Linked DNA regions of Nothobranchius furzeri. The protein of the gene in region 1 interacts with the protein of each later gene in a pairwise test. Links are inferred from orthologs where the notes say so. Each region holds a gene or a part of one and is shown on either strand. Other genes may lie near its edges.

Region 1 (3,754 bases):
CTTTCTCCTCTGCTCTTCTCCCTGTACACAAACTGCTGCACCTCGAGCCATGACTCTGTTAAACTGATCAAGTTTGCGGACGACACCATCCTCATCGGGCTCATCTCTGACGGTGATGAGTCCGCCTACAGGAGGGAGGTGGATCGGCTGGTGTACTGGTGCAGCAGCAACAACCTGGAGCTTAATGCTCAGAAGACAGTGGAGATGATTGTGGACTTCAGGAAAGTCACAGCCCCATCTCTCCCCGTCGTCCTGACTGACCTCCCCGTCACCACTGTGGACTCCTTCCGCTTCCTCGGAACCACCATCACACATGACCTTAGGTGGGAGCCATCCATCAGCTCCCTGATCAAAAAGGCCCAGCAGAGGATGTACTTTCTGCGGCAGTTGAAAAAGGTCAAGCTGCCGGCCCAGATGATGGTGCAGTTTTACACGGCCATCATTGAGTCCATCCTCACCTCCTCCATCGCTGTGTGGTACGCTGGAGCCACAGTTAGGGACAAACACAGACTGCAGCGCATTGTGCGCTCTGCTGAGAAGGTGATTGGCTGCAGCCTTCCATCTCTCCAGGACCTGTACGTCTCCAGGACTCAGGGGCGTGCAGGTCGGATAGCAGCTGACCCTTCTCACCCGGGTCACAGACCTTTTGAGCCGCTTCCCTCAGGCAGGAGGTTACGGTCCATCAGGACCAGAACCTCCCGCCATAAGAACAGCTTCTTTCCATCTGCAGTTAGACTTGTGAACTGCTTATAAACACAAAACCATGCTGGTTTTCTGTACTTGACACAACATCACGTTATCAGCCATGTTACCATTACCAGCCATTTTTTATAGCTGAAAGTTTTATTCTATTTTATTCTATTTTTAATCTTATTGTTCATGTTATATGTAGCACATTAGTACCAAAGCAAGTTCCTAGTTTGTGAATTGTTTGTTCACGGACAATGGCAATAAACCTATTCTGATTCTGATTCTGGTTTCAAATTCCCTTTAGGTCAATTATGTTGAGTCGTGGTGTTGTACCCTCCAGTCCAGCAGGTGGCGCTCTGTCCTAAGGGCTTAGCGTTAGCTGTGATCACAACTGTACTGGGAAAATGTTTGTTAGCTCTTATTTAAACTACCCTGAAATATATTAGTCGACTTTCATTTATGCTTTAGTAATTTATTCAGAGCTCATAACCAGTCGTTCGGACGTTGTAAAACACTCGTTAAAAGGCGATAAAAGGTAAGTTTACCCCTAGTTTCAGGGCTGCGTGGACACGAAGCGGAGGTGGAACTCAGTTCATTAAGCCTTAAATTTAACTCAAATCTGCATGTTTTCCTGAGCACGGAGGAGTTAGGAAACATTTTATTAAATTATCCGCATTTATAAAAGCCTTTCTAAGACTCGGCCATATTGCAGTTTGAAAAACATTTGCAATTTAAAGGTTTTCGACAAAATGTGAGCAAAGATAGCATACGTGAAAGCACCAAACTTGGTGTAATATCAAAATACAATTTTGAGAAACCTCGAACAGGTACGTAGTACTTCCAGCTGAATTTCCTGTCTTGGCATAATTGTACTTAAATTATAAAACTAAACTTGACTGAATGATACATTACTTTTAATTCTAAAAATATAAGGATGCATAAATAAAATATCAAACATGAACATTATAAATACCTCATTAAAGGTGCAGTATGTAAGAATGTAGTGAGGATTTTACAGTTAGAAAATCCCAGAAGCGTCTGCTTCAGTCATTTTGGAAGTAAGGTTATACTGAAACACTTTGAATGTTTGTGTTTATTCATTTCGCAGATGCTTTTATCCAAAGCGACTTACAATTTATAACCTATAGGGCATGTTGTGATCTGTGGGGGAAACCGGAGGAAACCCATTCATGCATGGGGAGAACACGCAACTCCACGCAGAAAGGCCGCAGCCGAGGTTTGAACCTACGACTTTCGTGCTGCGAGGCAACAGTGCTAACCACTGCGCCACCATGCCCAGCTGGCTGTGGGGATTGACAGTTTTTCTCCTTTCAAAACAAAGGGAGGAGGGACATAGCTACTATTTACCATCAGTGACAGGGTTTTTCCTGGCTCAAACTGAGGCAGAGGTGGTACCATCCTGACCATGCGCCAGCACATGCATACTCTGTGTATTCAACTGACTCACTTTTTAAAAGGCAAATTATTATAAAAGACTCAATAATATACCACAACGGCTTGCCTTACTTTCTGCGCCAGCAGTAATATGACTCACATCTGCAGCGGTTCTGATCCGTAGCGCTGCAGGATGCAGAATAAACAGGATGGTGGGGAATTTTCATCCGCTTGTAGAGTTTAGTCTTTCTTAGTTTTACCATCATCATCATATATTTTTCTGTGCGCCACTTGATCGTGAGACTGCTATCCGTTAACTTTAGCATTAGCCAATCTGAGTGTAGCTGCACTTTTGATCCCAGACTTTGTACCGGTTCTGCCTTTGCTGGTTCCTTTATTGTCCTCCACTGCATCCAGATGACCACACTGTGCGCCAGTAAAAAAGCATTTTTCTTACACGTAACTTACTTTTGTTCAATAAAGTTCTGGGGAAAACAGAAATTCAAAGATGTTGCACCAGTGCTACGTTTAAAAATAGACAGACACGCACAGACAGTTGTTTTCGTCGCACTGTACAGCCCTGCTCTGATATGGAAGAGCCTGGGGGAAAATCAGGACGTCACTAGCACCAACCATAGATATGTACCAACTAGCGAGAAAAGCTATTTTTGATTTATTTCTGCAGCAGTTTTAGTGCTTTTCGGTGCACCGCTGCTGATACAGCGTCCCTCTTGTGGCGCAACTCTGCAACTGCAGTTAAAATAACATCCATATAGCTGTGGACAGAGTGAAATCAGGCTGGGGCGGCACAAAATTAGCTGGAGGTGGCTGCCACACAAATTTTAATGCAGGAAAAACCCTGAGTGAGTGTGGGGTAGTCATGTCTCCTGCGAGCCAATACTGCAGCGCCGACAATTGTAATTTGACGACTAACGGTAAAAAGCTCCTAAGTTGTTTAAAGTGGTTTCAGTAACCAAATTTTACCACAGACATTTTTACTTCATTTCTACATAATGCACCTTTAAATTTTTTTAAAACTATTTTCACATTTCAATATTTTCAAAGATATGTTTCTACAATTTGGGGCTGCGCAGTGGTGCAGTGGTTAGAGCTGTTGCCTTGCAGCAAGAAGGTCCTGGGTTCGCTTCCCGGCCTGGGATCTTTCTGCATGGAGTTTGCATGTTCTCCCTGTGCATGCGTGGGTTCTCTCCGGTACTCCGACTTCCTCCCACAGTCCAAAAACATGACTGTTAGGTTAGTTGGTCTGTCCAAATTGTCCTTAGGTGTGAGTGAGTGAGTGAGTGAGTGAGTGTGTGTGTGTGTATGTGTGTGTGTGCGCGCATGGTTGTTTGTCCTGTGTGTCTCTGTGTTGCCCTGCGATGGACTGGCTCTCTGTCCAGGGTGTACCCTCCCTACTTACCCGTTGACTGCTGGAGATAGGCACCAGCCCCCCCGCGACCCTGCGTGGACAAAGCGGGTTCCGAAGATGGATGGATGTTTCTACAAGTTCATTAAAAATGGCAAAAAAAAAACCTTTTATTTTTACAAATAATATTTCATGCATATCCTTTTTTTTCCCTGTTATGTGTGTTTTTGTCCAGGATGATGGCTTTTCCACGCGTGCGTCTGTGTTCTCGCCACATAAGCGTGAGCCCTAACCTTTGTGGTT
Region 2 (3,754 bases), on another chromosome or scaffold:
TCTTGTGTTAGAGCAGCTGTAAAGCTAGTACCTGTGATGCTTTATAACATCTTTACACATTATTTCAGTGCTCCAGTAGTGATTACATAATTAATTCAATTTCAGTTTCAGATAATTTTAATAAAGTACTTTAACCCGCAGAAGGACTAAGGAAAACAAGGTCTGAGCATTCTTTGGTGAAGTCTAAAAAAGTAGCTTGTTCAAATGAAAAATATAGAGAAAGGGTTTAATGTGATCATCAAAGAAAAATATCAGGCATATAAAAATGCATCAGTATTGTTGGATTACATGTTTCATAAATCTGTATGTACTTTCTGGCATGAGAAATGTATTTTCAATAGTAACTATTAATTAGAATAGTAGCTTATTTTAAATAATTGATGAGTAGAAAATAATATTTACTTTGCAATTTAATATTAAAATAGGGTTAAAGACTTTGTTTTTCTAATGACAGTAAGTATAAGAATTTGTTATTAAAAATATTAAATTATTATTGTTTTTCCCATCTATAGAGAAAAAAAGTAGTGTACCAAAATTGATGTTCTGTTCCAAAAATGAAGTTGATTTCATGTACCCCTTACAATCTGAGTCTGTAACCTCTTGTTTTAATGCTGTTTGTTATTTACTATGATTTCAAACTTCTAAATAAATACTGTATTGTATTGTATTCCATACAGAATGTTGTGCCATTTGCAATATTTTAATAAAGTCGTTTAAAAATATATTTCCATTATTATTATTATTATTAGGAGTACTAGTAAAAGTAATAGGAGTAATAACGTTATTATTATTATTATTGTTGTTGTTATTATTATTATTATTATTATTATTATTATTATTATTATTATTATTATTAATAGAGCTATTAATTCTATTGTCCTCACATAGGAACAAACTTTACAGGTTCCGTTTCTCGGGGACGATTTTGACAAACGGACAAATCAGGAAATGGAATCGTTCAGCTAGCTTAAAGTTGTTTCATTACATTTATCGCTTAAAATGCAAACTGCTATTGATGACTACTGCATTGGAGTTTTATCAAGAGCTTCTGCAACGTTTTCTTTTACGTAAAAGTGGAAATTTAAACTGGTGCAGCGGCGTTTTAGCTTTTGCTACACCCTGAAAAACTAAAAAAAGGTCGGTATCAAAATGTATAATCTGTTATGATTTTTGTACGGTTATAAACTTTATTTTCCGTGTATATTAGCGGTAAAACGTGTCCAAAATGCTGCTACACCAGGTGTAGGTACATCTTAGGTGTTTATTAAAATAACCGAATGATTTCAAAGATATATTTTGGTCTTTTTCATTAAAATATCCAGCAGATGTTCGAACATTTGCTTTAATTTACTTCATAATTCGTGTGTATTCATTAGATCATGTTACTGACGACCACTCGCCTGTCTAAAGTGCTGCAGCTCACCCTAGCGGTCATCAAACCAGATGCTGTGGCTCATCCCTTAATGTCAGAGGTAAACAAGACTGTCTGTCCCAAAACACATGAAATGCTCTTTAATGACATAAAATCATCAGTCTTTTACTTCAAAGGGAATTTGATGTTACTTTTATATTTCTGCAGAGTATTAAAATTTTACAGCTAGTGATTTTCTCCATTTAATAGATATCTTCCAACACGCAGATGGTAGAAAAATGCACAGATGTTGTGTTTCTTCTTTTTTTATTTCAGGCTCTTCATCAGATAATTCTGGAAAACAAATTTGTGATTGTGAGAAACAAAGAGCTGGCGTGGAGACGACAGGACTCCGAGAAGTTTTACGCTGAACACTCAGGTGTGGACAAAAGTCACGTGATCAGATGGGACTTTAAAAGTTTCTGCTTGAGATCAAAGAAAGAAGCAGCTTTTTAGAGCAGGAATATCACATGCAATGTCTCTTATGAAGTAAATATGTATACTTTGGAACAACTTACATAAATTCACTCAAGTTAAAAGAATAATGTTTGAGATTTGCTTCATTTTGAATTTCCTCTGTCTACAGAGCGATTCTTCTATCAACGACTAGTTGAGTTCATGTCCAGGTTAGCCTCCATAATAATTTTTTTGCATTCTGAGGATTTCCTCACAAGAATGATATAAAACATCACAAAGTAGTTGTAAAATACTGGTAAGTGTTTAATTAGTCCACTATAGCTGACACAGATCAGCTCTTTTTGGTGTTTTAATTTCATTCTGAGGAAGACTCTGGTCATTTTCTGGAACTTGTCATCACACTCACCCCTTCAGCACAACATCCCAGCAGCGATCGTCTACAAACATCTGGATGATTCCTCCTCTGGCCGCGAGCTCACGCTGGGGTGGAAAAAGTGCATGTAATTATGCTGTCACTATTCTTGGGTGGCAGTGGTGAAATGGTTGCCATGGCAACCATTCAAACGGGAAGCTGTTACTGAGAACACACTAAGAAAACATCGTCATCGAGTGAGACTTTTAGATGAATAATATGAGCTTCATCTGAAGGGTGTTTTCATTATATTTGGTGTGAAGAAATCAGATCAATTTTAGCCTTTTATGCCTTTTCTGAAAGCAGGTTTTCTTTTCCTTTTTCCTTCTAGTGGTCCCATGCGAGCGTATATCTTAGCCAAGGAGGACGGGATACGTCACTGGAGGGACCTGATGGGACCCACTAAAGTGTTTCGAGCCAGATACACGTCCCCCACCTCCCTCAGGGCCCAGTTTGGGCTCACAGACACTAGAAACACAACTCATGGCTCAGGTAGCAAACTTTCCAAACCTTTATCTTAAATGTTTTAAAAAATGATGTTTAATCCAAATTTAAAATGAGGAATGTTAGATGGAGCCTAAAGGTGGTCTGGTGGGTTCATCCTGATTCCTAGGGCCTTGCAGAAACTACTTTCTCAGAAATCACACATTGTCTTTTTTCAGTGTCGTTTTCATTTTTGAATTAATATATTACTTAAAGTTAGAGCTTCTTTTCTTTCAAAGTTTGGCATTTTTCACATTGTAAGCCTTTAAAATCTGTGATGTGTTCTTCAGATTCTCCAGAGTCAGCTCGAAGAGAAATCTGTTTCTTCTTCCCAGATTTCCACGTAGAAGAGTGGATGGATAAAGACGAGCCATTATTCCGATCGGGACGGATACTCTACGACCTCCAAAAACAGATCCACACAGTGTCGGCACCCAGCTGACCCCAGACCAGCTTAGAGCGGGTTTAAAGTCTGTCATGAATACACTCTGTCTTGTTTCAGTTGCTTTTGTATTAAAAGTATGGAATTTATTTAGTGTTTTTATTATTTAGTCAAAAATTGTGCTTCAAACTAAAAAAATTAAGTTTTGAGAGCATGACGATGCAAGAAACAAAATTTCTATTTTTCAAAATAAAATACTTTTTCATTCAGACAAAAATTTTTTTTCTTTTTATAATTTTTTAATAAACAAAATTCTGATTAGATTTAAAATTCAACCTTTAAAAATGTTTTTGAGGTTATTTTTGTTGCTTGTTTACTTTTTTATTGTTTACAATTTTTCAAAAAAACATTTTCAACTTTGATTTTCTGTTTGAAATATTTTTCCAGTGTTTAAGAACAACAAAATAAATTCCATATAAAAGCTCTTTAATCTTTTAACCATATGCAATCATTTCAAACAGAAACCTCAAATGTTATAATTTATTAAAAAAAAACAACTGACATGAAAAAAAGAACACTGGATTGTTCGAAGCAACACGATGCAGTAAACGGACTCCCCTCCTCATCACACTCCTGAAGCTAAATTCTT

The links. The genes of interacting proteins can lie anywhere in the genome.
Region 2: the proteins of rcc1l (region 1) and nme6 interact in binary tests that used the Homo sapiens proteins (3 or more experiments, as listed by UniProt). The link is inferred for Nothobranchius furzeri from reciprocal best matches to the Homo sapiens genes RCC1L and NME6.

Annotation. Positions count from the first base shown.
Region 1 is NC_091750.1:67,888,381-67,892,134, forward strand, and holds the start of rcc1l (RCC1-like G exchanging factor-like protein), read left to right. Parts: upstream 1-1,027; 5' UTR 1,028-1,225; intron 1,226-3,686; 5' UTR 3,687-3,687; coding exon 3,688-3,754. UniProt on the Homo sapiens protein: Guanine nucleotide exchange factor (GEF) for mitochondrial dynamin-related GTPase OPA1. Activates OPA1, by exchanging bound GDP for free GTP, and drives OPA1 and MFN1-dependent mitochondrial fusion. Plays an essential role in mitochondrial ribosome biogenesis.
Region 2 is NC_091742.1:1,574,838-1,578,591, forward strand, and holds nme6 (nucleoside diphosphate kinase 6), read left to right. Parts: upstream 1-913; 5' UTR 914-1,137; intron 1,138-1,376; 5' UTR 1,377-1,379; coding exon 1,380-1,472; intron 1,473-1,687; coding exon 1,688-1,790; intron 1,791-1,997; coding exon 1,998-2,037; intron 2,038-2,571; coding exon 2,572-2,732; intron 2,733-3,013; coding exon 3,014-3,165; 3' UTR 3,166-3,254; downstream 3,255-3,754. UniProt on the Homo sapiens protein: Major role in the synthesis of nucleoside triphosphates other than ATP. The ATP gamma phosphate is transferred to the NDP beta phosphate via a ping-pong mechanism, using a phosphorylated active-site intermediate. Inhibitor of p53-induced apoptosis.